3 linked regions of the Sus scrofa genome follow. The protein of the gene in region 2 binds, or shares a complex with, the protein of the main gene of each other region. Links are inferred from orthologs where the notes say so. Each region holds a gene or a part of one and is shown on either strand. Other genes may lie near its edges. The genes, in order: TNFRSF13C, TNFSF13B and TNFRSF17.

The links.
Region 1: the proteins of TNFSF13B (region 2) and TNFRSF13C are in contact, whole or in part, in a crystal structure (PDB 1OQE), measured with the Homo sapiens proteins. The link is inferred for Sus scrofa from reciprocal best matches to the Homo sapiens genes TNFSF13B and TNFRSF13C. Residues at the interface, in NP_006564.1 of Homo sapiens: Ser162, Tyr163, Asp203, Thr205, Tyr206, Ala207, Met208, Gly209, His210, Leu211, Thr228, Arg231, Cys232, Ile233, Pro264, Arg265, Glu266, Asn267, Ala268; in NP_443177.1 of Homo sapiens: Asp26, Leu27, Leu28, Val29, Arg30, Val33, Leu37, Leu38, Arg39, Pro41, Arg42.
Region 3: the proteins of TNFSF13B (region 2) and TNFRSF17 are in contact, whole or in part, in a crystal structure (PDB 1OQD), measured with the Homo sapiens proteins. The link is inferred for Sus scrofa from reciprocal best matches to the Homo sapiens genes TNFSF13B and TNFRSF17. Residues at the interface, in NP_006564.1 of Homo sapiens: Ser162, Tyr163, Lys204, Thr205, Tyr206, Ala207, Met208, Gly209, His210, Arg231, Cys232, Ile233, Glu238, Pro264, Arg265, Glu266, Asn267; in NP_001183.2 of Homo sapiens: Tyr13, Asp15, Ser16, Leu17, Leu18, His19, Ile22, Arg27, Ser29, Ser30, Asn31, Thr32, Pro33, Pro34, Leu35.

Annotation. Positions count from the first base shown.
Region 1 is NC_010447.5:6,694,866-6,704,352, reverse strand, and holds TNFRSF13C (tumor necrosis factor receptor superfamily member 13C), read right to left. Parts: upstream 4,528-9,487; 5' UTR 4,430-4,527; coding exon 4,294-4,429; intron 3,951-4,293; coding exon 3,708-3,950; intron 3,173-3,707; coding exon 2,991-3,172; 3' UTR 950-2,990; downstream 1-949. UniProt on the Homo sapiens protein: B-cell receptor specific for TNFSF13B/TALL1/BAFF/BLyS. Promotes the survival of mature B-cells and the B-cell response.
Region 2 is NC_010453.5:75,594,793-75,604,405, forward strand, and holds the start of TNFSF13B (tumor necrosis factor ligand superfamily member 13B), read left to right. Parts: upstream 1-4,953; 5' UTR 4,954-4,965; coding exon 4,966-5,145; coding exon of another isoform or gene 5,146-5,289; intron 5,290-5,377; coding exon 5,378-5,465; intron 5,466-9,613. UniProt on the Homo sapiens protein: Cytokine that binds to TNFRSF13B/TACI and TNFRSF17/BCMA. TNFSF13/APRIL binds to the same 2 receptors. Together, they form a 2 ligands -2 receptors pathway involved in the stimulation of B- and T-cell function and the regulation of humoral immunity.
Region 3 is NC_010445.4:31,136,722-31,146,222, forward strand, and holds TNFRSF17 (tumor necrosis factor receptor superfamily member 17), read right to left. Parts: upstream 5,142-9,501; 5' UTR 5,015-5,141; coding exon 4,897-5,014; intron 3,927-4,896; coding exon 3,795-3,926; intron 2,821-3,794; exon of another isoform or gene 1,461-2,820; coding exon 1,174-1,460; 3' UTR 951-1,173; downstream 1-950. UniProt on the Homo sapiens protein: Receptor for TNFSF13B/BLyS/BAFF and TNFSF13/APRIL. Promotes B-cell survival and plays a role in the regulation of humoral immunity. Activates NF-kappa-B and JNK.

The sequences.
Region 1 (9,487 bases), on a different chromosome or scaffold from region 2:
AACAGGCCAGAGAACAGGGCCTGCGTCCCTCAGTTGCCAACCCGACAGGCAGCTCCTCCAGTCTGTCCTACATCCCTGTTACTGCAGAAAGAGACCAGTCAGGAGGGAAGCCTTTGAGGAGTGATGAAAACAAAGAGGAAAGCCTGGACTCAGTGCCTGGAGTCTGTCGCTCCCAAGGAGAACACCTGGGCCAGTGACTGACCACCCTCCGGGCAGGCAGGTGTCCGGGTCTAAGCCAGCTCCATCGCTGCTTATTGCATCTTGAGCCAGATCCCTTCTCCTCTCTGGGCCTCTTCTCGCCTATCTGCAAGATGGGTCATATAGTCCCTGCTCATGCAGGTAAATCGGTCCAGATTTTCAGGAAAGCAATTTGACCAACAGAGGCCTTAAAAAAGGTCAAGGCTGGAGTTCCCTTCATGGCTCAGCGGTTAACAAACCCGACTAGGATTCATGAGGACTCAGGTTCGATCCCTGGCCTCGCTCAGTGGGTTAAGGGTCCAGTGTTGCCATGAGCTGTTGGTGTGGGTTGCAGATGTGGCTTGGATCTGGCGTTGCTGTGGCTATGGTGCAGGTTGGCGACTGGGAACCTCCATATGCTGCAGGTGTTGCCCTAAAAAGCAAAGCAAAGCAAAAAAAAAAAAAAAAAAAAGTCAAGGCCTGTGGCTGAAATTACTCTCCTTCTGGGAAACAGACTCAGGCAAAGATTTATGTTTAAAGAGGTGCTACTGCCTCAGTTACAATAGCAGAGGTCGAAAACACTCAAGTGGAAAAGTTTACAAATGAAAACTTTGGTTTAAAGACAAAATTCAGCAAATATGATAGTCAAGATACGAATTTCCATGTATAGAATGGTTACTCAACCCTGGTGTTCTGAATCTGGGGTGACTTCCCGAAAGACTCCACCCTGGACTACCATCCTGAACTTTCCAAAGTGTCTACAAAACACATCTCAACTTTTTGTTCTTTTAATAAAAGTCATTTTTTAAAAAAGCAAACACAAGTACCCACTCCCCTCCTCCTGTTGTGAAGACCAAATACATTCACTTCCAGAAGGTTCTTTAGAAAGCAAGGGCAGGATGGAGGGCTAGAAAATGGAGGCCTCTGGGAGGTGGGGCTTTTTTAGGGGAGACAGACCCCATTCTTGTCCACCCATCCCCTGGCCTCTGCTCCTGGTTCCTCCCCAGGGAATTGCCCTCTGCGATTCGCTGGATGAGGCCCCCTCTCTGGGCCTCAGTTTTCTCATCTGCAAAATGGAGGGGGAGTGTGTGCTCTCTCGAGTTCCCTCCCAGTCCTCCTGGGAGAGCCACGGGCCAGGAGGAGAGCTTTGTATCCCCCTCCCCCCATTTTTCTTAAAAGGAAACTGAGACCAGACCAGGGGTTCAGTGGGCACACAGTGGTGCCCGAGGTTTGCATGTCTGGGCCCCAGGGGGGTTTCACCCACTTGTTTCACCTCCAGGTGCCCCCACCCCCGGCTGCGGTGGAAAAGATGGTGTGGGAGACAGGCATGGCCGGGAACAACTCAGACTGCTCCCCAACCCTGAGATGGAGAGAAGGGGAAAGATGGGCCCATTCTGGGCCTGCCTCCCACTGTCCTGCCTGTTGCGCCCACCCTGACCTCACCCCAGCCACCTGGCAGCCAGGGAGCGGGGGACATCTGAGCCGGGTTCAGGAGGGAGAGGTGGTCCTCGAGGCTGCAAATGCTGCTGACTGCTGACTGCTGACTCTTCTGAGCTGGGAAAGGGGTGGGCAGGCAAGGTGGGTATCTGCTGGGCAGCTCTGATAGGCAGGTCAGGGAGAGGCGGGCAGAAAGCATCGGATGCGCAGAACAGAACAGGGTCAAGGACCTACAAGTGGAACAAACTGGTACCCAGGGTCCCATCTTCTGACTCGCCGTCCAGTGCCCCTTCCGGGGGTGCTAAACTGTGACAAGTTCCATGGCACTGTCCAGGGTGAAGTCCGGGTCAACTGTTTCTAACTCTGTGTAGGAGGGCCAGCAGGAGAGTCAGTGGCCAGCTGAGTTCACAGTGTGGTCCAGAACTGGAAGAGATGGTCTCAGCTCCACTCTCCAGGGCAAGGGGCACCAGTGTCCGAGGAACAGTTCCACTGGGATGATGGGTGACTGCAGGGAGCTGGCACAGAATGGCCAAGTGACCTGAGCACTTGAGGAGGACAGGCCACAGAAGGGAGCTCAAGGGATATCAGGTCCAGCTGGTTCAAGGCTACAGGCCTGCCCTGGCCTCTGAACAAAAGAGCCTCCTGCAGGTCTTGGGCCCTGCCCTGTGTACAGCTCAGAGTGCTCTGGAGGCGGCTAGGACTCCAGGTGGTCTCTGATGGAGAGGCCTGCCAGGGTACCTTCGGTGTGAATTTGCAGTCCAGCCCCAGAAGCTGTAGACTTCCTCCCAAGTGTGAGCCTGGGGTTCTGGAAGCGGCCACCAGGGTAAAGCTGGCATCGTAAGTTCTAGCAGGTTGGGTCAAACTCAGGGCTGACCCTAGGGTACAGGTGCCAAAGAATCAGGACAATCCAGGCTATTTCTTAGAATTACCTTGTGCGAAATCCCAAAGGGTCAGTTGGTTACTCATTGCTGTCATTGGCATCAGTTTAAAAGCAGAACGACTCTGAGAGCAAGTATTAAATACAACATACAGCCACAAATTAGGCATCCTCCCACTTGATCCTTCTCCTAGATTCATTTTGGCTGATGGTGGCTTCCCCATGCTTAAAGAAAAACGCCTACTCAGGGTGCCCAACCCCTCAAAGGCACATAGCTCAGGCTTTGAGGGCTGCCAAAGATAGTCTGATTTTAAGCCAAATGCGAACACGCCATAGGATCCCATGTAGTCCGAACCCTGTGTCTGCAGCGCCTATAGTTCTGCAGGATGAGCCCGGGAGCAGCTTGACTCTCAGTAAAGAAGCAGGTGGGACCAGGGGAGAGGAGCCGAATTCAACCTCCAAGCCTCTGCCTGAGGGCAGCCTCCTGTCCCCTCCATCGCTACTGCTGCTCAGGGCCGGCCGTCTTGGTGGTCACCAGCTCAGTGGAACCCAGCTCCGTGGCTGGCACAGGGACGCTGTGGGCAGGTGGGGTGGTGGCTGAGTCTTCGCTGGGTGGAAGCCAGATGGGAGCAGTGGCATCCAGGGTTCCAGGAGAGGGGACGATGTCATTATCCAGGGGCCCTGGTTGGGGGGTGGGGGGGTGCAGGGTCAGGATTGGGTCACAGCCTTCCGCCATCCCGTTTCTGGAACCTCCCCGGAGAGAGAGCCCTCCGACTTCTGAGAGAAGTCAGGCGAGGAAGCCCCTAGGCGGCGGTGGGGAGGGGGAGGGTGGCACATGATGGGCCCTCGGGACCGGAAGTGCTGGGAGGGTTTGCGCAGTGGCAGTGCTGACACTGGGAGAGGAGGCGTGGGGGTCAGTTTGGCCTTCCCGGAGCGAGGGCAGGACGACCCCTCCCTCCCCCGGGCCCCCAGCCCGCGTCTTCCTCACTCAGGCGCTCACCAGGCCGGGACCCTGGGCAGGGCCGCTGCTCCCCGCTCAGCCTGAGATCTCAGACGGCGCCCCTCGCCGCCCCCTCCATCTGCCTGGCTTCAGACCCCCTTCCCAGGGCCCCTAGCCCGCCAGGGCCATGTGTCCCCTCCGACGGCCCCCGTCCCCCAGGGCCGGACCTTCCCGGGCTGGACAGTGCCTCTCGGTTCCTCTAGACGGGGAACGTACCGTCCTGGTCTCCGTCCAGGGCTTCCGGGGCCTCCGGGGCAGCCGAGGCGCGGGGCCGTTGCCTGCGGCGCCTCCAGCTCACCAGGCCCAGCAGGACCAGGGCCAGCGCCAGGCCCAGCAGCGCGGGGGCGCCCAGGAGCAGCGCCGGGAGTGGCAGCGCGGCCTCGGCCTCGGCGGCCCCGGGCCCCACCGACTCCTGCGGCTGCAGCGCCGTCCCGGGAGCCAGGCTGCTCGGGCCGCCTGCTGGAGGGGACGGAGAGGGAGGTCAGGGGCAGAGGGGAGGGAAGAGAGGGTAGGGGAAGGTCGGAGGGAGGAGAGGCTGGGACGGGAGGGGAGGGACAGCCGGTGGGGGGGGGGGAGCAGGAGGGGCCACGGCCGCGCGCAGGCTCCAGCCCGCAGCCCGCATGGCTGAGCCACTCAGGCTCCAGCCCACAGCCCCCCGTTAACTGATGCCCCAGCCCGGGTCCTGGGCAGGTGCGGGCCATGCCTGCGGCTCTGGCGGGGCACGAGCCTCGGTGGCAGGACCCTCCTTCCCTCCACCAGGGCTGCCCTGGCGCTCCAACGGCCAGAGCCGGGTAACGCTTACCCGGTCCAGGATCGGGCGTGCGGAGGAGGCTGCAGGCCACGCAGTTGCGCACCAGCAAGTCGAAGCACTGGGTCTGCAGGCACTGCGTGGGGACCGGCCCGTCCCTGCCCCTCAGACTCCTCGCCCTTCGCCTCATGCTGCCAAAGCCCAGGCCTGTCTGCACACCCTGCCGGGACAGAGTCTGGCCTCTGCTGCCCCACGGGGAAGAAACCGGGAGGGGCCGCCACCCACTCCGCCCCGCCCCGCCCTCCTGCCTGCTGGGGTGGGACGGGGTGGGACCACTCTTAGCCAGGGCCTCAGCACCCCAGACCTTCTATCTGTGGTTCCTCCATTCAGCCACTCAACCATCACCCCCAGACAACCACGGGGCGGGCTCCCTGCTGGGCACTGGGACAAGGCTGGGGCTCAGACAAGGGCCCGCCCTTGGGGAGCAGAGGATGGGTCCCTGAAGAGGACACAGACCTCGGGGAGGCCTCTTCTGCCCTGCCCCCCAAGGCCAGCCCATAGGCCCAGGTGCTCCCCACCAGCCATCTCCCCCCAGCTGCCTCCTCTGGGAAGCTCTCCTGCCCTTCTCCCGCAGAGCTGGTCAGTTCATCGAAGACATCCTGAGGGCCCCCACATGGTACCAAGCCCCAGGGGACTCACACTGGTGGTGGTGATGGGGGAGACGACACCTCACAGCATGGCATCAGTGAAGGTGGTACCACAGGGCACGGGAAGGCTTTGTGGAGGAGATGATAAGGTGTTTGCTGGCTGAACTGAGGTCGCAGGGGGCGGGGGGCACCCAGGGTGAGCAAGGGGCCTGGGGGCCAAATACGAAGGCCAGGGAATGCTGGAACCAGAGGGCCGGGCTGGGGCCTTAACTGAGAGAAGCTCGGATTCTGGCCAGAAGGGCACTTGAGAGCCATGCAGGGAGTGACACAGTCAGAACCGCTGGCTGGAGTGGAGGGCACAGACCGGGGGCAGCTCGGTCTCCAGATCCTAAGCAGGAGGGAGGCTCAGATCAACAGATGAGCAGACAGACCCAGGCCCAGTAGGCACTAAGTGGGCAGCCCACCCACCCCACCTCCTCCTCCCAGGGCTGTGTGTGTCCTGGCCTGCTCGCCTGTGTCTCTGTGGGGCCTCTTCTGTGTGTCTCCACTCGCCAGTGTTTGGGGAAGCCCCACCTGTCTCTCACACTGAGTGTCAGGCGGACACTCAAGCCCCCTGGGCCTTCCTGGACTTCCGCTGCCCCCTCCCCCGGGGCAGGGGCTGGCAGAGAGCCTCAGCATGGACCACGGGCTTAGAGCCTCATGGTGGGCCTGGCCAGACCCTGGGGCACTCAGGGCTGGGGGTGTACAGCGGAAGGACTGACAGTCCCTGGGGCACGGAGGGGGCTTAGGGGCTGGAGTAGATCTTCAGCAGCTCAGAGGGGAGGGGAAACTTCTAGGCAGAGGGCAAAAGCAGGAGCTGGGAAAGTGGAAGCCGACTCTGGGGACAGGCCTGGCCCCTGCCTCCAGAGGTGCTGCCGAGGGAGAGAGACTGAGGCTGCAGCTGGGCGGGCCAGGCCGCAAGCCATAAGCCCTGGGCAGTGAGGAGCCCCAGGAGGTACCTGAGTGGGGGAGAGGGTCTGAGCTGTGCCTTTGAAGGGACGTTCCCCCTGCTGTGGGGTTGGAGACAGGGTGAGTGGAGTAGCAAGGAGGCTCCCCCATGACTCAGGGCCAGGGAGCAGCCAGCAGCTGTTTAGGAGGGAGGAGTGATGCTATGGAGTGAGGGGAGCAAGGCCGGCCCCCAGGTTTCTGGCTCCGAGGACACGAGGACTCACACAGAACCTCGAGCCGGCTGGCCTTGAGCCGCCCTGGCCCACTGCCTCTCCGTCCCCTGCCCACGGGCCAGCAACTCCGTAGCAGGAAGGTGTAGGCGGTGGGGCAACTGCAAAGGAGAAGTGGGTCCGGGGCGGTGGGTGTGGGTGTGAGTGGGGGTGTGTGGTGAGGGGGTGGGGGAGCCAGGGGCCTGCCAGGAGCCAAGGCAGGGAAGGGCCTCCTTAGGGCAGAGGGGTGGGGGCAAGGCCTAAAGACTGGGCCCCTGTCCCCCCCCCCATCGCTACTGGTCCTGTTCTCACCCGCGACCCTCAGGGCGGCAGGGCCCTTACCACACATGCGGCATCTCTTCACCCCCAGCCAGATGTTCAGGCCAAGTGGGCTGGGTCTTGGGACCCTGGAGGGGGAGCCTGTCCCCGGGAGAGGGGAGGCCACTCACAGGAGCCACCTCTATACCGGCCACCTGGAGGGAGAACCAGAGAGGCTCCACTTTCACCCTTACCAGTGCCTCCTAAGTGCCTGCAGTGGGCAGTGCCAAGCACAGAGTGGGCAGCAGGATTGGTGTTGATGGTGTGTGGGGCACCTGACTCCAGACAGACCTTCCACTTGCACCTTCTAAATAGGGAAGTGGGGGGATGTTCCCGTCGTGGCTCAGCCGTAACGAACCCAACCAGTATCCATGAGGATGAGGGTTCGATCCCTGGCCTCACTCCATGGGTTAAGGATGCGGCATTGCTGCAGCTGTGGGGGTAGGTCACATACATGGCTCGGATCTGGTGTTGATGTGGCTGTGGTGTAGGTCACAGCTACAGCTCTGATTCGACCCCTGGGGACTCTCCATATGCTGCGGCTGTGGCCCTAAAAAGACTAAATAAATAAATAAGTAAATAATAAATAAATAAATAATAAATAGGGAAGGGGGGAGTGCTCGAGTCTCCACTTCCACAGCTTAGCAGTGAAGAATAGAAATTTCACCCTCAGACCAATGTAGTAAAAGTCAGGTTATTCCTCAAGTTTTTTTTTTTTTTTGTTTTGTTTTTTTTGTCTTTTTAGTGCCACAGCCGCAGCATATGGAGGTTCCCTAGCAGTCGAATCAGAGCACATCAACGCCAGACCCGAGCCGTGTCTGTGACCTACCCCACAGCTCACAGCAACGGCGGATCCTTAACCCACGGAGCGAAGTCAAGGATCGAACCTGCACCCTCATGGATGCTGGTCGGGTTCATTAACCACTGAGCCACGAAGGGCACGCCTCCTCAATGTATTTTTTTTTTTTTTTTAACATAGCTCCTTAAAAAAAGACACAACAAAAACCTTCATTATAGGTGATTTACAATGTTCCGTCCATTTCGGCTGTATGGCAAAGTGACCCAGTCATACATATATACACATACTTTTTTCCATATTATTTTCTATCATGTTCTAACCCAAGTGATTAGCTCTAGCTCCCTGTGCTGTACAGCAGGACCCCATGGCTGATCCATTCTAAAGGTAATAGTTTGCATCTATCACCCCCAAACTCCCCGTCCATCCCCCTCCTCCCTCTCCCTCTTGGCAACCACAAGTGTGTTTTCCATTAACATAGCTCTTAGGTCAAGGTTATTAACTTTTTGGGGGGTGGGGAGCTGTGCCTGTGGCATGTAGAAGTTCCCGGGGCCAGGGATCAAACCTGCACCACGGCAGCGACCTGAGTCACTGCAGTGAAAACGCTGGATCCTTAAGCCACGTCACCACAGGGAATTCCCAAGTTTATTAATTTTCTAAACTTAAATCTTCTACATCACTTCTTTTTTCTGTTTTAGGGCCACACCCACGGCATATGGAGGTTCCCAGGCTACGGGTCGAATAGGAGTTGCAGCTGCTGGCCACAGCCACAGTCACAGCCACAGCAACTCGGGATCTTAGCTGGGTCTGTGACCTATACCACAGCTCATGGCAACACCGGATCCTTAACCCACTGAGCAAGGTCGGGGATGGAACCCGCATCCTCGTGGATGCTAGTCAGATTTGTTAACCACTGAGCCTTGATGAGAACTCCTCTGTTACTTTCTGAATATGAGTTATGACTGAGAGAGAAGTTAAAGTTTCAAAAATCAATGTGGTTCAAGCAAATGTTCCTCGTTCTTTCAAAAGTTTTTACTTGAGGAGTTCCCGTCGTGGCTCAGTGAGTAGCGAATCCGACTAGGAACCATGAGGTTGCGGGTTCGATCCCTGGCCTCACTCAATGGGTTAAGGATCCAGTGTTGCTGTGAACTGTGGTGTAGGTTGCAGATGTGGCTCAGATCCGCCGTTGCTGTGGCTCTGGTGTAGGCCGGTGGCTACAGCTCTGATTCAACCCCTAGACTGGAAACCTCTAAATGCCGCGGGAGCAGCCCAAGAAATGGCAAAAAGACAAAAAAACAAAAAAACAAAACCCCAGAAGTTTTTACTTTAAATCATTTGATATCATCAGCTCACATGTGCCCAAGTAGAAAAAAAAAGGGCTTTGTTGCTGAAAACCTCTTCTAACTGAATTTATGTCTCAGTGTTCTCAAGTTTGTGTGCTTGGATGAGTTTTTTTTTTTTTTTTTTTTTTTTTTTTTAAGATGATTAATTTAAGTCTATCAGGGAAAAGGGAGTCTCCCTTGATCCGTGTCCCCAAAATACCCCACAAAACACCCTCCCGATGGCTCTGACACAGGTGCCAGCGTGACGTCAGTTTTTCAGTTGGGGAAATTGGGGCTCTGAGGGCCAAAGGGATGACCCAGCACCTACGAGGGGGCCGGGCTGGGGTCTGTGGCCAGCGGACCGTGAAGTGCGGCCTGTGTCCTTCATGCCTCAAGGACAATGTCGTGGAGGGAGGGCTGGTCCCCGGGGGCAGAGAGGCCCAGATCTGGATGTGAAAGTGCAGACACATGTGTTCTGTACCTAAAAATTAGTTTTATTTGTCATTTTATGAGTAATACCCGGACACATTTTCATGAAAAGAACCCCAAGTACCACAGAGGTCTCTGATTAAGAAGGGACAGTTCTCTCTGTCCCCAGCGGGAGTCTGTTTTCACGCTGGAATCTTTCAGTCCAGTCTTATTTTATGCCTTTAAATTCCATACGTGCAGACAGAAAAACAGGTCTCGTGGGTCCCAGAGGGGCCTCAGGGTGTGACCTGTTCCTTCATCTCTGCTCCTCCAGGCCCGTCCTGGGAGCTGGCTCTCTGGCTCCACCTGCTTTTGTCCCAGCGGCCGGGTGCCCCCGGAGCAGGGGTTCCCCTTGTCTTTCTCGTGTATTTAGCTCTGACGTACAGGACACTCCCAGAAAGTCCCCCTCACTGGGGACAGTGGGAAGGATGCGACATTGGGCCTCTGGACACCGAGAGGGGGAGGGAGAGGCAGGGAGGTCTGTACAGAGTCCTGGGGAGG
Region 2 (9,613 bases):
GGAGTGAGGTTAGAGACCCAGGTTCTCCTCCTGACCCCGCTCTCCTGCCTCCACCTGGTGGCCCAGGCAGCACGGTAATGGGTGGACAGCGAGCACAGGTCTAGGCTCTCACACGAAGACATGTGACAGAGCAGAAAGGACGTCTCTTTCTTCTGTTTCTCTTTAAAGATGACGAGCTTGTTCTCATGAGCCCCCTGGAGACCAGTCTTACACCTGGTGGTTAGAAACCTCTCTTACTTGTCCTCACGTAGCAATAAGTGCTGATGCAGAAGGATTAGGATCGAAGTGTGGAATGTGTGGAATCGGCCAGTGTCCTCCCGAGATGGACATCTACGCAGCATCCCTTTCTAGGTTTGGCTTCGGAAAGAGCTTGTGAAGATGGCCAAACACAACTAGGCAGACAGATGTATCTGACTCCAGAGGCTGTACACCTAACCCCCATCGGGGTTTTTATATGCGAGAGAGTGTGTGTATTTCTGCATTTATACATGATGCCAGTGACTTCAGTATGGTCCAACATGGGCCTAAGATTTCGGTCCTGACCTGTAGTTTGAAATACATGGGTTTGCCACTACTTCAGCCCTGAGAATGATTCCATGTTCCTTAAAGTCTGGTTTGAAATTTGGAAACGAAGAGAGTGGTTCCTCTCTATTTCCTAATACTCGGGTAACCCTAAGAGACGCTGCTTGTAATTCGCTTTCATCGTTGGTGGTACAGGCAGATGGCAAAGCCAAACCACAGTGCTAAGCTCATTGTTTTACTTTTCACATGTAATCGGCAATGAATCACGAAACATGTTTGAAAGCTCTGCTTTATTAATTTTTAAAGACAGTGAGGATTTTGTAAGTAGTATTTCCTGCGTAGATAGAATTCATTTCTCCCAATATTTTTGAGGTGCTCAAATCTGGCCAGGTATTATTTGGGAGTTCCTGTGTGTCCTTGTGTATCCTAGGTGTCATGCATGTGAAACAGAAACATTAACTGAAGTGTGTGAAATGGACAGGCCATCACAGTGATGGACGCATATTCATCAATACTCATGAAACCCTTATTCTTGCAAGTATTATAAAGGTAAAGAGTAACAGACTAAATTTCACTCTAGTTGAAAATTGTATTAAACAGAAATTGCTTGTCGAAAAACACAATGAATAAAAAAGTTTTTTAAAGAAAGAAAAAACAACACAATGAAATAAACCCTTCTTCAAGAGAGTTAAATCTCAGAACATTTATACTACAAATTGAGGACATATTTGCAAATGAAACTGAATTCTTTAAAAAGTGGATTTTTCCCCAAAGTGACAAAAATTAAGCTCTAGTAAATGCATACACACTCCTCTTTTGAATATAACTATTAAGAAATAGTTAAGTCTGCATTGCCAATCACTGACGTTATTTTTTGTATGAGAAATGACCAGAGTTGTCTATTTTAAAAACCATGTCATTACTTCATGGTCCAGTGACACAGAGTGACCAGCACTTAGCCTTCCACGCCAGGTTTCCCCTGGGCTCCAGTAGCAGATGACTGTGTACGTGTTTCTATCGGAAAACAGCATGATTTGTTTCCTGAAAGGTAATAACTATTTCTATCAAACTATTTTCTATTTTCGGAGCCCTCGAGGAAGCCAGTGTTGCCTGGGTCTATTTTTGCGTACCTCTGTATATCTAGGAGAGCCTTTGACTCCACGCTCGATTGGTCCAAATCCTTATGAAAGACACTGTTTTTCCTCCAAGACATGGGTATGGGAGTGATGTCCCAGACCAGCTAATTTTTCATAGAATGGTTAAGCCAGACATTTAAAATTAAGCTTCCAGAACAGTTTCGAGGTTGTCCATGTAAGAAGCAAGCCATCAGAGGGTAGGTATGTGTTTAATATTGATATTGCGGTTCAGTCCCTAGATAAATTCCTATCTTAAATGCTTTCCAAACATGCCTTCTCTCTGCCGTCTCCTGAGTGCCTGGGACAGGGACATGGCCCTCCATTTCTCTATGAGGCTTGCCTTAGCTCTGTCGTAGGAGAACGTCTGACACTCCAGTTGGGAAAGAGAGAACAGTTCTCTGGCAGGGCACCCTGGCTCAGGCAGGGCCCTGGTAACTGTGAGAGTGCCCGGCTCCTCCAGGCGTGTGGACAACATGGATGTGCTATGTGTTGGATAGAATTCCAGTTAAATTACTGTCCAGCCTTTTCCTCGGCAGGAAACAGATCCTTGATTTATGGAGGACCAACCTCCTTTGGTTCCTCTAATAAGAAATTCAAGAGCACATGCACTGCAGGCTGTTTTCTAGGCGTCTTCTGAGAACTTGAATTTCCTGATGCTGCAGAGGACATCCCGTGGCCGTGTCCAGGAGGGGCGGGGGAGGGGGAGGGAGGTGGTGCCAGCAGCCACCTGCCTTTGGAGGGGCAGCACTGGCCCTGTCTCTGCTGGGGTGCCCCCTGAGGGTCCGAGACTGGCTCCTGGCACCAAACTGGCTGCAGGCTGGCTGCTCAGCAGCTTTTCCAGGAGAGCAGCGAAGGCGGAGGTCATTCCCTAAAGCGCGCCATTCCCCTTGTCTTCAGAACTTTCCAGCAGAACACGGAGAGGGGTGGCCTGTCAGGAGGGAAGAATGTCCAGGCTCAGAAGTGCCCAGTGGCCTCCCGTGTCCCGAGTCAAAGAAGAGAGTAATCGATTTCCAGCACGGCCTTGAATTCTTTGATCTCTCCAGGTGCTTCGTTACTGTAACACACGCACGTCTAATCTGGGCGAAGTTCAGTTACTTTCGTTCATGAAGGTAAATCCCTCAACTCATCCTTTTTTCAAAAAGTGGCCTCTTACCTAGTGTCCGTCATGCTGATGGACCCGGAAACGAGGACTGTCACAAAGGCTCGGATGACACCAAAGAGCGGGCACGCTCTCTTAGAGAAGACTGCCACTTGAGAGAGGACAGGGCAGCTCACGCGGGTAGGGGAGACCAAGGGAATCACGAAAATAATTTTTTTTTCATTTTTAAAGTTTCATTGGAGTCGAGTCGGTTGACAAGTTTGTGACCATTTCTGCTGCACTGCAAAGTGACTCAGTCCGACGTGCACACACAACCACTCTCTTTCGGATTCTTTTCCCACAGAGATGATCCCAGAATATTGGGCAGAGTTCTCAGTGTTCGTGTGCCGATCAGTTACCCCCCTCCCAGAGTTCTCGTCGTGGTTCAGCAGAAACGAATCTGACTAGGATCCATGAGGATGCAAGTTCGATCCCTGGCCTTGCTCAGTGGGTTGGGGATCCAGCGCTGCTGTGAGCTGTGGTGTAGGTCACAGACGCAGCTCGGATCCGATGTTGCTGTGGTTGTGGTGTAGGCCAGCGGCTGCTGCTCCCATTCAACCCCTAGCCTGGGAACCTCCATATGCCAAGGGGGAGGCCCTAGAAGACCAAACATTTTTGTATTTTATTTTTAAAAAAATTTATTTTAAAAAGTCTTGGGACTGCAGATGCAAAGGAAAAAAATAACCCCAACAGGTAAAAATGAGTAAGTCTGACGACATCATACTCGGAGAGATGAGGAGGAAACAGGCAGTCCTGAGAGATACCTCAGAGACAAGGTCAAGGTGACCAGTCCCTGTTCTCCAGCAGGTGTGTGCCTGGGAAACCCTGGCAGCTGTTGCATGGGCGCAGGCATAAAGCCGTCTATTGCAGCACTGTTTGTAATAATGAAAAAGAGTTCGTGTTCTGGATAAATGAAACACACATTCATTCATAAAATGTATGAATGAAATATATCTCACATAATGAATGAATGAATGGATGGAAATGAGTGAAAAATGGAGGGTCTTAAAGGCAGCTTGTTCCACATTCCTCTAAGGCTCCTTACAACTTCTCAGGGCCGGTTGTCACCCCATCTAACAGATGAGAACACTGAATCTCAGGTGGGATTGGTGTCCTAATAGGCACGCCACATCCAGCAACAGAGATTTGAAACTAAAGTCCCTCTGGGTCGAGTTGGGGTGTCCTACAGACCCATGAGATGGGGACAGAGTCAACCTCATGTGGCCAAGCAGATACGCTGCTTTAGGGGAGGAGCAGTTAGTGGCAAGACCCAGGCTTCTGGAGCTGAGATAAGGCAGAATCTCCCCCAAATGTGGTCAGACGGAGCCAGGACATGCAGCCCCAGGAGTGGGGACAGCAGAGGTCGGACCGCTCCTCAGAACTGGCCGTCCTCTGGGGCAGCGGGTCCAGAAGGAGGAAGATTAGGCAGGCTTTTCTTCAAAATGCCTTTAAAGAATCCCCCGTGTCTACTCTCAGCAGGGCTCCCAAATTCAGGCACATCCTTTTTCTTCAGTTGCTAAGATGATAACATGGAAAACATTCCCCAACGGACTTTCATGCCTCCTTGGAGGAGGCTTCGTTTTATTTCCTACTTAAGGACTGTTAATAAATCACTCTCTGGCTGAGTACAGTTGAACGCTGAAGCACTTAGCTTATCTGACCTTCGCATTAATTATTTTTATTACCCAGCAGGAACTTATGAAAGCTGCCCCCCCTTTCCCTGTAAAGCCAAGTGGCCCCAAGCGAAGAAGCCAGGTCTCTCCTGGTGCCTGAGAGGGAGCTCCTTAAACACCTCCGGCTCTGAAAAGCTCTGCTGGAGGGTACTGGTCCGAACCCCCAGTTCCTTCCAATCAGTAGACGCCAGGCACCCGTTTGTGCCTGAGGACCCAGTGATGCCATTGCAATTCTTACAAAAACTGAAAGTGAAATGAGGAAGACTGATTGAGCAATCGGATAGAAGGGCGAATGCCAGGAAGACCTAGCGTACAGTAGGGGCAGAGATGCAGCGGGGCAGAGGGGAGAAAATTCAGGAGAACTCTCCTGAGGGCGAGCGCCGGGCTGGGCCGGGCAGTCAGTGCAGGACATCAACAAACACAGATAACAGGAAATGATCCATCCTCTGTGGTCACTGATTCTAAGGGCCCGAACCTTCAAAGTTCTAGGAGGGAAATGGATGACTCCACGGGGGAGCAGTCACGCCTTTCTTGCCTTAGCACGAGAGAAGAAATGAAACTGAAGGAGACGGTCCCCATCCTCCCCCAGAAGGAAAGCCCCTCTGTCCGCATCTCCAAAGATGGGAAGCTGCTGGTCGTGACCCTGCTGCTGGCCCTGCTGTCCTGCTGCCTCACGGTGCTGTCTTTCTGCCGGGTGGCCTCCCTGCAAGCGGAGCTGGGGAGCCTCCGGGCGGAGCTGCGGGAGCACCGGGCGGAGGGGCTGCCGGGCGCCCCCCAGGCGGGAGCCGCAGCCCCCAGGGCCGCCCCTCCGGCCCTGAAAGTGAGTCTGCGGCAGCCGCAGCCCCAGGCACGGGGCTCCCCCACGACCCACACGTGCTGGCGGTAACGTGGGGCTTTTCTCTTCCCAGGGGATCTTTGCACCACCAGCTCCAAGGGAGAGCAGCTCCATTCAAAGCAACAGGAGTAAGCGCGCCGCGCAGGATGCGGAGGAAACAGGTACGTCGGGGTCACGGAAGCCTGTAGGAGGCAGGGATCCCGTTCACAGGTGTGGAGGCGAGCATCGGACTGGGAGAGGGGAGCCCCGCAGAACCTGGAGACTTCCACGCTCACCGTCGCAGCCAGGAGCGGCGCGGGGGCAAAGCACCAGGCTGACAATGCATGTCTGAGCTCCAGGGAGCGGATTTTGTGGGGGCAGGTATTTATTTATCTGTGCGGCAGTTGAAGCGTAGAAGTGGGGAAAGAGGCTCACATCTCCCTGCAGAGAGTTCCCTTCTATGTCAGGAGCATCCTCCATCAGTTCAGGAGAAAAAGCACCACGCGCGAATGTAGGAAATTTTGTGAACCTGGTCAAAGAAAGGCAGCAAAAGAGCATCTCCTGGGGAGCGTAGCTGCTGTGCAGTCACATGGAGGTCGGTGGTGGGAGCAGGTGCATGGCTGTGCTTTATTTTGTTTCTTGCTTTTAAAAGAATAGAGCTCCTTCCACACACACACACATACACACACACACACACAGAGCTTTTCGAGCTTTTCGTTAACCGGAGCTTTCCCAGGAGATCCACACGTTTGTAATCTTATTGTAATAGTTCTTTAGAGATTTCTGACTCTCTTCCTGGTCTGTTCCACAGAATTGTGTGGATTCCCGAAACCTCAGATTTGGTGGGGCCTCCCCAGACATTCAGCTCTAGCTCCTTCCTTTCAAAGATGCAAAAGAGCATTTGCATTGCATTTACTTAGCATGCAATTTAATCCTTGATACTGTTTCCCTTCTGTATTGAAGGAAGGTTTTTGAGCCCCTAGAATGTGCCAAGCACGCTTGTACTTGAACGGGAATCGTCACACCTTCTGTTTCCTTTAACCTGCAAGGTGACTGCGAGGTGAAGTCACCGTGTGCAATTATGTATCCGTCTATGTGCTTCTAAAGAGAAGTGCGCGACCCGCAGATTAGCTTTTCTGGCACACGCACAATGCTGCTTCTGTAAGCGTGTTTTTCACGAAATGCCTTATTCATGGAAAAAATTCTTCCCTTATTATAAAAGCATACATTTTTATCTGGTTATCATATCTCCCAGCCAATTATCAGAAACAATTGGGTTTAAGCATTTTAAAACTAGGAAACATTTTTAGCATACTTTAACCCATCAATTGTTTTCAGATTTTGTATTTTATCACCTATGTTTTCTTACACACACATAGTTGAAAACTGCAAGCATATATGTCTTGGCATATTTTTGTGTTCACTTATTACATAAGCATTTTCCTTAGTTCTCAGTAATTCTCACTCATCTATATTAATTTCTTTGTTATCATTCTGTGATCATACGATCATTTCCAACTCTTTTTTTTTTTTTTTTGGCTATAGCAGAACATGCCACAATTTTTGTGCAGATCTCTTTGTGTCTGAGGAATTATGTGCATATTATTCAACATAAATTCCATAGATGAAATGTCTGAGCCAGAGGATAAACACCTTTAACACTCTTGCTACCTGTTGCCATGTTGCTTTCAAAATGAATCATAAGTGCGTGCAGTCAGAAACTCCGTGTACAAGTTCTCCGCATTCTGACAGCATTTTATCTTTAAAATGTGTTTGGGCTAGTTTGGTAGTTGCAAAACAGTGCCTCAAATTTAATTTGTTGCTTGCTGACAAATAAGAATTAACTTCTTTCCACATATTTTGATAACTTCTAATTTTATCTTCTGCTGATTTTTATTTATAACTTCCCTCACTTGTCTGTCATATTTTTAAAACAATTCTGAATAAACTCTATATTTGACATATTACTTATCAAAATTTTGATGTAAATATTTTCACAACATTTTGCTGTTTTTTCAAAAACTTGTGCAGAGATTTTGCATCTGTGTATTTTAATGTGAAACACTTGTCCTTTTGATTTCTCTATCAAAGCTAAAATACATTTGTTCATAATCTCTTAAGCAGTTTATTGTTTCCTCTGCCATTTTGACTTTTTTATAATTTAGTGTTGTAGCTTGGTATTTAATCCATTAACCTTGGAGTTTATTTTGGTAGGTCATGTCATACTGGCCTTAACTTCCCCTTTCTTCTTTTACTTTTCCCTTCCAAACTCTTGCTAAATATCTCAACCAAATTAATTAGATGATTCTTTTTAACTCCTTTGGGTTGGGAAGCTTCCTGTATTAAGTTCCTCATATATAGTCGAATCTACTTTGAGATTCCTTTTTTCATTGATTTTTTATCCTATCTATCTGTGATAAATAAAATATTATAAGTGATTTTATAATATAATGAGCTTCAATATCTAGTAGGGTGAGTATGCCTCAATCTTCTTCAACCTTCTTAGCTACTCTTCCCCTGTCTCTAAATATTATTATTAAAAATAAACCCTAACTTCCCAATTCCAAAGAGGATATAGACGCATTACAGCAGATTTAAGAAGAAAAGAATTAAGTAAGAAATCAATTATCCGCAGAGTTCCCATCGTGGCTCAGTGGTTAATGAATCCGAATAGGAACCATGAGGTTGCAGGTTTGATTCCTGGCCTCACTCAGTGGGTTAAGGATCCGGCATTGCCCTGAGCTGTGGTGTAGGCTGCCGGCTACAGCACCGATTAGACCCCTAGCCTGGGAACCTCCATATGCCACAGGTGCGGCCCTAGAAAAGACCAAAAAAAAAAAAAAAAGAAAGAAATCAGTTATCCCCAGAGTTGCACTCCCCCCCCCTCAAATCTTCTGTTAATATTTTAAAATCTCCTCTAGTGCAAGTTTTTTCGTGTTGGTGTTTCCATGGCATCCAGAAATTGTATACTGACAAAAAATTTTCCCCAAATATTTGCAACTTTGAGAAAGTTTGGAAAATAGCAGAAAATTCTAACCAATGAATAAAAATTTACCCAGTTTCTATATCCCAGATATAATCACTGTTGTCATTATCATAGTTTGCCCCAGATTTTTATAAACCTTGAATGTAGCGTGTCTGTGGTGTATATGTGTGTGTATTGTATATACCATGTGTGTATGTGTATGTGTGTATAGTACGTAGCACACATATATTTCCTCCTATCTCTATATCTCTATGAATATCATAACATTCGTAGACTCCCAGATGAAAGGTGTGAAGACCAGAGCCTTAGTGGCAGGTAATACCGGCTATGCCTTGCCAGTGAAATTGGCCTGAGTGTTATTTTAGACACTGTTCTCTGGTGCAGGGAAAAATCCGTTTTGTTTAGCACTACTCCAAAATTAATGGCTCTCTCTATATGAATCTACTACATATACCAAAAGATTGTCTGAAATTCTATTTTTGTTTGTTTTCTGTTTAGTAGGGTTGTTTTTTGGAATTGAGAAAATGCAGAAATGCAGTCTGAATCTATGCAACTTTCTTTGTTTTTTGTTTCCATTCTCGTTGTTATGGTTTATTTTAAGTAAAACTCCCTTTTATCTTCAAAGTGTTAGTTTCCATTTTATTTCTTGACTTTCTATATATGTTTATACACACTTTGTTGCATTTCTATTAAAACTATAACTCTGAAGAAAATGAATTTTCACCCTGTTGAATTTATATATTCAAGAATTTCTAATGTCTATTAAATATAGAATTTTAAACTTTACAGGACAGCTTTTCTTATGTAGTTCCTTATAGTTTCTTTCATAGTTAACCTAAAGACATTTTATTGCTAGTTTGAAGTCTTAGCATTTTCAAATAGCTTGTTAAACTGTTAAAAGCATATGGAATTTTCAGTAAATTATTCAGTATTTGATCTTAGGCTTATTTTTTAAGCCAAATCAGCACACTTGGTGGATTTATGCTTAATAGAATTATAATATTGTCCTAGGCTTTTCTTTCTCTTTTGGCTGCACCCACGGCATATGGAAGTTCCTGGGCCATGGAGGTAATCCAAGCTGCAGCTGTGATCTATGCCACAGCTGTGGCAACACCAGGTCCTTAAACTGCTGTGCCACAGTGGGAACTCCTATTCTAGACTTTCTTTTTTTTTTTTTTTTTTTTTTTTTTTTGCTGCTGTGCCTGAAGCATTTGGAAATTCCTGGGCCAGGGCTTGAACCTGTGCCATAGAAGTGACTAGAGCCACTCCCGTGACAACACCCAATCCTTAACCCACTATGCCACAAGAGAACTCCTATTCTAGAATACTCTGCTTTCTATATTT
Region 3 (9,501 bases), on a different chromosome or scaffold from region 2:
TGTGATGCCAGTGGGCATCTTACCTATGATCAGAGGAAGCAGATTACCAGTCAAGAAAGGAAACCAAAAGAAAAAAAAAAAAAAAAAAGCAAATTACCAGCCCTTCCATAACAGCCCAGGACTTTTACACAACCCCAGGAAGGGAACCCTCCCCCAGTAATGACTAAAATTGGAGCCCAAAGAGATGGGAAACTCAGAAATGGAAATAAATTGATGTGAAAAGAAAAAAAGGAATAGAGCAGAATGTCTGGGTTTAAATCTGGTTCTGCCATTCGCTGGCCTTGATCTGACTCAGTTCTGTTATCATCTGTAGCACGGAGCTAATAACCGCCCCCCTAACTTGTGGTTTGTTGTATGTGGTAAATGACTGCATACAGATAAAGCATTTGGAACAATCCCTGGCTGTTAGGAAGCCAGATAAGTGCATTAGGTCATAATAATGACACTTAATACACCTTTATCACAATTTGCAACTACACATGTACTACTGATTATAATGATGCCTGATGCCTTCATTAAGCTGGAAGCTCACAAGGTCAGGAACCGGCCATGCACTGCACACAGAAAATGAGTGTGGCCGGCGACTTCCTGCTATAAGGCAGTCTGTTAACCATCCAGCTTATCTCTGTGAAACCTCCGGTTCCATCCCGGCCCCTGGGCAGTGGGTGAAGAAACTGGCATTGCCACAGCAGTGGCTCAGATTCGATCCCTGGCCAGGGAACTTCCATTTGCCATGAGGGTGGCTGAAAAAGAAAAAAAAAAAAAAAAAAGGAATTAGTGTGACTGACTCTAGGTTCTCCTCCATACAGAATGCGCGGAGGATAACCTCGCTTCCCTTTCCCACTAAAGAGAGAAAGCCAGTCTCTCCTGAAACGTGTGTCTGTGTGTGTAGAAGAGAAGTGATGTCGGCATAGAAATGGGTGACGATGGGATCTACGCATTGAGGTGCCTTTTTTTTTTCCAATGGTCAATTTAATCATGAAACCGACGAAGTTTCCACAGCTAAGTTCCCATCAATAAGGTGGAAGGAAACATAAAGGTTTTCCAGAATTAGAGGACCAAGATCTATACCACCCACCGAGGAGTCAGGCGTCCTAAAGAGACGACACATCATCCTTTCCTTCCAACAAAAGACTTTCCAAGTAGCTCTCTGCCATCGAAACGGTGCGTTAATCATCTGGTAGAAATTGATTTCTCCAATGCCAGGGCACTCTCGGCAGCTAGCAGGCTGCTGCAGTAGCCATTTGTTTTCGTGGTGACAAGGATGGTGGCGCCTTCCTCCATGGCTGGGAGTGGAAAGAAATGGTCGGAATCGACCTTTGGTTCGCTCTGGACACAGTCTTCACACGTACATTCCTCTACCGTGTACTCCAGGCCTCTCGAAAGCAGCGTTTCCGCACCCATCCGGCCCTCGCTGCCATTGCCCAGGTCAGCGCCAGCACCCTTCTGGGGAACCGATCCTGAGGACGCAGAAACGGCACTGTTAACCCGAACTCTTCAGGGCACCTGGTCGTGCCAGACTTCGCAGCGCACATGGGGGATCCGAGCAGCACCAGGCGGATCTCTCATGACTCAGTGAATGAGAGGGCCCCAGAGTCGTGCGTGAACGGACAGCCCATGGGCCACACTGGCTTCAAAGACATGCGTGGTTTAGGGCAATGCAGGGTTTTTTAAGTGTTTGCTCATCTGTTTTATGGTGACCCTCACTTAAAAAATCAAGAGATTACACATACAAATCTACAAATCTAAACAACTGGGCCCCCCTCTTTTTTTTGGTCTTTTTACAGCCGCACCCATAGCATATGGAAACTCCCAGGCTGGGGAGTCAAATCAGAGCTGCATCTGGCAGCCTACACCACAGCCACAGAGACTCTAGATCTGAGCCGTGTCCGGACCTATGCTGCAGCTCGTGGCAGCGCTGGATCCTTAACCCATTGAGGGAAACCAGAAATCAAACCCACATCCTTATGGATGCTAGTCGGATTCTTAACCCTTTGAGCCACAATGGGAACTCCACGGCCACTTGGAGTGGACATTCCTACATGGGAACAAATGGGAGTCAACGGCACCTGTCTACTCCAAGCAGGGCCCAGGCTCCCCTACTGCAGAAGCCTCCAGAAGCCCCACTACATTAGTTTTTCACCCCCTTGGCCCTTGGACATATGAAGGTACTGACCCCTTTAACACATACGAAAGACAAATTACCATATGCAGGCACACCAAAACCAGTCTCAGGTGATGCACTAGTGTGCAAAATAGGGAATTCCCGTTGTGGCTCAGTGGTAATAAACCATGAGGACGTGGGTTTGATCCCTGGCCTCGCTCAGTGGCTTAAGCATCCAGCGCTGCCTCGAGCTGTAGGCTGCAGCTATAGCTCCAATTCTGTCCCTAACCTGGGGACAGAATATGCCTCAGGTGTGGCCCTAAAAAGACCAAAAAAAACCCCAAAAAGAATTCAAAATAAAGATGCCTTTCTTACAGAGCATTTTGTGGCCAATTCCTTTTTTTTTAATGCAGCTCTCATGACCCCATGAGGCAGGAGTCCCCACTGGCTGCCCCTGAAGGCACGTTCTACTGTCTTCCCAACCTTCCACCGTGTCACGTCACTCCATCTTCCAAAACATCACACTTAAAGTCACCTACCTGTCTCTCAAACCCCAGGTAAAAAAAGACAAATGAGTAAGTGACATGGAACAGCCACCTCCCTCTCCTCACTGTATACTGAAACGAAAATGAGGTGGATGCTTTTCAGATTATGCATGGAAAATACATGCATAAAGAAATAGGGCAAAAAAAAAAAAAAAGGAAATGGAGCAGAGCTACAAAGTATTTGATAAACAAACCATGGGCAAAGGTACAGAAAAAAAAATTTTTTTAGGGCCGCACTCACAGCACATGGAAGTTCCCAGGCTAAGTGTTCCCACTGTCTATATGCCACAGCCACAGCAATGCCTTATCTAAGCTTAGCCTGCAACCTACACCACAGCTCAAGGCAATGCCAGATCCTTACCTACTGAGAGGGGCCAAGGATCAAACCCTGCATCCTCATGGATACTCGTCAGGTCCGTTATCACTGAGCCACAACAGGAACTCCAAAAAAAAAATTTTGGGGGGGGACCGTGCCCAAGGCACACAGAAGTTCCTGGGCCCAGGGTTGAACCCAAGGCGCGTTGCCATGACAAAGCCGAATCTTCAACCCAGTACATCACAAGGGAAATCCAGAAATATATTTATCTTAAGAAGCCCTTAAGTAGAATGGTCATTTCTCTGGGGATGGTTTTCTATTGCTTAAGAAAGATAATCATCTTTGAGATGCTTGCTGAAATAATCCAGGAGCAACTGGTCTTCATTTCTACCATTTTTCAACAGTAAAATGGTCCCTCAAGCAAACACTTACATTTGTATTAGAATATGGACACAGATCTTGCCAAATATATTTTTCCTGATAGGAGCAGACCTGGCTCGCTGTTTCAGGTGGCATGACATTTGATCCATGTGCTAATTTCGGCCAGAGAGAAGGATGTTCCCCAAGGAAGCCTCAGTCCCTCTGAAGAGTAATTACCGAGGGAAGAATGTCTGTGGGGAAGGCTGACACCTGCAAAGGAGGGTGTAAACACCGGAGAGAAAGCTCCCTTCTTCCAAGAATTTCCTTTAACATAACTGTCGTCTGACACACTCTAAAGGGCTCTCCCCAAACCCGGTGCTCAACAGGACAAATGAAAACGAACTGAAACTCACAAGCGCAACCTCCTGGAAACAGATTTCAAAAGATGGGCCATCAAAGTCAAACCAACCTGGGTTTCTAAGTTCGTCCCTCAGTGGTCCGGAGCTCCTCTTCCTTAGCAAGAACATCAAGATGAAAACTGTCAAAGAAACTATCAAGCTCAGGCCCAAACAGGTCCAGAGAATCACATTTGTTCCTTTCACTGAATTAAAAAAATGTCAGAGAGAGAATGAACTAATAACGTCATATTCGCATCCAGTAAAGGTTGTTTTTTTCTCTCTGAGTCTCCCTAATGCCTTGGCACTGACTTTTAAATTCTAGATAATGCTTAATTAGGAGAGGTGATTTAAAAAAAAACAACCTCTGTGGTTAAGAGTGCTGAATGAAATCGGGTTCAGTTCTGAATAATTACTTTGCTCCTGTCGGCATTTAAATAATTGCTTTATTTTCTTACTCTTTTTGATGCAGAAAATCTCACCACCTTCCCGGAATGTTACTGCTCTGAATAAATAGTCAGTAGAGAGAGAATACCTCACACCAGTTGTAACCGAGCAGAGGCTGTGGGGCTCCTGAGCACACAAGTCTTTCTGGGTCCTCCGTCCTGGGCACACAAGTCTTTCGGGGTCCTCCCTTTCTGGTTTTTAGGAAATGAGCCCCAGCCTCCTTAACCTTCCCTGAGTTCCAAAGGGCAGCTGCTAATCAGGGAAGGGAGGGGATGCAGAGACCAGGGAGGAGCTGTCAAGAGACAGCAGGGCAGCCTTGGGGCGGGGTCCTGATTCCTCCTTAAGGAATATACATAACAATGTCTTTGAGCCTCGGTGCAGAACTAAAACCCCCAACACCTGGAAACACTACTGGATGAAACGGTCTTCATTCCAGGGAAGAAGGAGGACCACTAGCTTTGAAAGACATTGCAAGCTGGGCTCCATCCTGATCCTTATCTCTGCCCTATTTTCCACTCCCGAAGCTATCAAAGCACATCCTAGCCCCCTTCCAAGGTGGGCAGTCTTTAAGGCATTAGCCTGCTGTGGCCGCCTTTGCCTGGCAAAGCAATAAAGCTGTCTTTTTCTCCTTCGCCCCAAGTTCTGTCTCCACATTTCTATTCCGAAACAGTGGACGGAGGCCGAGTTTTCAGCAACACAATGAACAATTGTTCAAGCAGTATTACTTACTTGTATTACAATAATGCTGACACGTTACAGGCGGGGTATTAGAGCATCGAAGGCGACAGGGTTTGCAAGCAATCAGCAATCTGTCAAAATATTCATTCTGGTAGCACTGCTGAGCCATCTGGAACTTGGTCGCAAAAAGAAACAAGGAAACCACAGAAAGAACAGCATGGAAGGACCCGTAAAATCTCGTCGAGAATTCCCCAGAAAAATGTAGTGACAGCAGCTAGAATGTCAAGGGGGAAAAAAAAGAACGTTGCGTCGATGCCTTGGTTCTTATGGGGGCTGACGCCCAGGTCTGTGGCTGAGGATTTGAATACCAACACTACTTCCAGTTTCTTTCCAGTTTCAAAGTTTGAGTCTTGGGTATCGTAAGAGATGGAGTATACCTACCCAGAGCAAACCATACCTGAAACAGAAACTCCTTATTTATAGAGGAAATTTCTCAGCCAGGTGACAGTCACAGGATGTAGACAACCCTGAAACATTAAGCAGAAGGTTCAGTAACCATTTTCGGAGCATCTGTTCGTGAGCTATGCTGTGTGATGGGCCCCAGGGAGAGAGACCAGACAAGGTCTGTGCCTTTAAGAACTTAAAATCTAACAGGGAAGATGATGGGGCGGGGGGAATGGGATGGAGTAGGAGTTTGGAGTTAGTAGGTGCAAACTATTATATTGAGAATGGATAAACAACAAAGTCCTACTATAGCCCAGGGAACTAGATCCAACCTCCTGGATACACATGTTTAACTCAGTGACTTTGTTGTACAGCAGAAATGGGCACAACATTATAAAGCAACTATAGCAGTAAAATCAAAAATAGGGGAGGTAGAAATTCACTCAACTACAAAAGAATATAGTAAGAAGTGACAGAATGTGAGAGGAAAGGAATAGCAAGCACGCTTGCCAGGTTTTAAACCTAGGAAGATTGGAGTTCGCGTCAGGGCTCAGCAGAAATGAATCTGACTAGGATCCAAGAGGAGGCAGGTTTGATCTCTGGTCTCGCTTAGGGGGTTAAGGATCTGGTGTTGCTGTGAGCTGTGGTGTAGATTGTAGACACGGCTCGGATCTGGTGTTGCTGTGGCTGTAGTGTAGGCTGGCAGCTACAGTTCCAATCAACCCCTAGCCTGGGAACCTCCATATGCCGTGGGTGCGGCCCTAGAAAGACAAAAATAAATACATAAATAAACCTAGGAAGAATCCCAGAATTCCAACACATACGGAATTCTAGGGTAAAAATTAAATTGGCAGAAGATAGGTTTGGGACATAACAATAACAATAATAATATGTTAAAATTAATATAATATTTTAATATATTATTAATAGCTATGTTTTATTGTTGAAAATTTAGGAAAAAAAAGCAGTTGAGCCTATAGAAAAATTATGCATAGTTGTAGCATCCATAAATAATCAGTTAATATTTTGATGTAGCACAGAGTTTGCCGATAGGCCTGCCAACGTGTTCTGTTGGCCAGCTTCTGATATTGATCTTTCTGGAAGGATTTCTGTAGGTGGATAGATAGATTGGTTGGTGTAGTACACTTTACTTTTTTTTTTTTCTTTTTTTTTTTTTCTGCTTTTTAGGGCCATACCCGAGGTATATGGAGGTTCCCAGGCTAGGGGTTGAATCGGAGCTGTAGCTGCCGGCCTCCACCATAGCCACAGCAACACAGAATCCAAGCCGTGTCTGCGACCTACACCACAGCTCACGGCAACCTCATGGTTCCTAGTCGGATTCATTTCCACTGAGCCATGATGGGAACGCTGCATTTTCCTTTTCACCTAAATGGAACCACAGGTGTTTGCTTTAAACCATACTGATGATGCCGGAAAGAAGTTACTAGGATCAGGGTTCTTCATGAAGCCAGAGAATGAACTTCAGGAACACACAGGCAGCAAGCAAGCAAAGTCGTTATTAGAGGAAAGCAAACAGCTCCCAGGACAGCTGGGAGGAGGAAGAGCCCCCTTCTCTATTGTCCTATGGGGGTTTTTATCCCTTAAAGATGGGGGGTACCAATGTGGGGTCCAAAAGATGTGGTTTTCTCCCCCTGGCCTTGCCCAGTTACCTCTATCAGTCCTTGTCCAATAGGGGTCTTAGGGGAGGAAATGTCCCGTAAGTCTCATGGTTTCTTTGCCCTTCTCTTCCCGTAAACTGAGTCACAGGGGTTAGAGATTAATGTCCATCTGGGCCTAGGTACACTCCCTAGAGTAAACAAGGCCTGTGGGGATGTTACTCCCTGGAGCCCTTAAGCCACACATGTTAATCAATAGCCACATCAAAGAAGGCACCGAAGCCTGGGCTCCTACACGGACCACCCGAGTTAATATTCTGCCTGACTGAGAGATACCCATACAGAGATATCCAGAGGTCAGGCAGAAATGCAGGACTCGGAGTTCCCGTCGTGGCTCAGTGGTTAATGAACCCGACGAGCATCCATGAGGACGCAGGTTCAATCCCTGGCCTCGCTCACGGCGTTGCTGTGAGCTGAGGTGTAGGTCACAGACATGGCTCAGATCTGGTGTTGCTGTGGCTGTGGTGTAGGCCTGCGGTTACAGCCCAATTTGACCCCTAGCCTGGGAACTTCCTTATGCCTCGGGTGCGGCCCTAAAAAGACAAAAAAAAAAAAAAGAAAAGAAAGAAATGCAGGACTCAAGTAAATAGTAAACAAGTGACAAACTTCAAATTCAGGAGAGTGATTACCTCTGGAGTGGAAAGGGACGGAAAAGAGGCTTCACCTGTATTGCTCGAATTTTATTAAGCTGAATGGTGGATACGCTGGCATTTACTGTGTTCCTCTATTTTTTTTTTAAATTATGCTTTTTATTTATTTATTTAGTCACCCCCTGGCAGGAGGAAGTTTCCAGGCCAGAGATCGAAAAGGACCTGGAGCCACTGCACTAACGATGCTAGATCCTCCACCCACTGAGCCACCAGAGAATTTCCTGCTCTTATTCTTTTGGGGTTGTTGTTGCTGCTATCTATACTTCTTCATATTTTTTGAAAAGTACATAATAAATACTAAAACAAAGATAATAAAATACAATGCAAGAATTAAAAACCACTTTTTTTTTTTTTTTTTTTGGTCTTTTTAGGGCCATACCTGCACCATATGGAAATTCCCAGACTAGGGGTCCATGCACAGCTATAGCTGCCAGCCTACACCACAGCCACAGAAACCCAGGATCCGAGCCACAGCAATGCCGGATCCCAACCTCCTGAGTCTGGCCAGGGATCTTACCTGCATCCTCAAGATACTAGTCGGGATTCGTTTCCACTGCACCACAATGGGAACTCTTTTTTTGTTTTTTGGGTTTTTTTAATGAAGGGCTTGAGCCCAGGGAAAAGTTTGAAGTTAGATCCATCAGAATCTCCCATTCCTCCAGGGTTTCAGGCGGTGGGGTCAACAGATGTGGCAGCCTGGGTGGGACAATCGGTTGCTGAAAGGGCTGTCCCAGCAGGTGCCACGCCCTCAGGCTCCTTCCAAATGATGACCTTTGGGAGACAGGAAAGGACACAGGAAAAGCATGATTAGAGGAGGGCAAGGACAAAGATTAGCTTTCCTATCAGCCAAGCGAGGCGAGTTTCTGGAAGGGATGGGAAGTGCGGTCAAATTCTGCAGAAAAGTCAGGGCCGGTGCACTGAGGCAGAGGATCACTGGTGGCCTTTGAGAATGTCCATGGTTGGAGGCCACACTGCAGGTATTTAAGGAGTGGAGAGAAAGAGGAGGCGGCCACCGAGGGAAATCTGATGGCAACTGGAAGAAGTGAGCTGTGAGAACTCTTGGAAAGGAAAGCACTACTGCTTCTGACAGATGTACTGGCCCAGGTGCCTGAGGTCGCACGCACACGGAGATTCACTGCAACATCACTTGTGTTCACAGGAGCCTGTCCACTGGGGACCTCACTGCAGACTTAGCCAGCTATCCAACAGAATGAGACCAGCACAACGCCAAGTGGAAAACACAAATCACTTAATAGCGTGTTTATAACCTCTGCTGTGTTTACAAATAAAATACATGGGCTCTATATAGACAGTTATAAACGGGGGGCTATGTCTAGAAAGATAGGAGACTGATAGAATTACTGCCTCTGGCAAGTGACAGGAAGTTCAGAGTGGGAAAAAAAAAAAAAAAAAAAAAACCTTTTCATTGAAAAGTCTTTGGTCCTGTTTAAATAACTATTTTTTAATAATAATGATTATTTGTAAATAAGAATCCTCTTTTTTTTTTTTGGTGACACCCACAACACGTGGAAGTTCCCAGGCCAGGGAGTGACAATGCCAGATCCTTAACCTGTTGCATCACAAGGAACTCTGACACCACCTTTCATTTGTTTTGATTTTTTTTTTTGCTTTTTAGGGCCACACCCACGGCCTACGGAGGTTCCCAGGCTAGGGGTCAAATCGGAGCTACAGCTGCCGGCCTACACCACAGCCACAGCAACACAGGATCCAAGCCTCATCTGCGACCTACACCACAGCTTACAGCAACGTCAGATCCTTAACCCACTGAGTGAAGTCAGGGATCGAACCCGCAACCTCATAGATACTCGTTAGGTTTGTTAACCACTGAGCCAGGATGGAAACTCCTGGCATCTCTCTTAAGGACA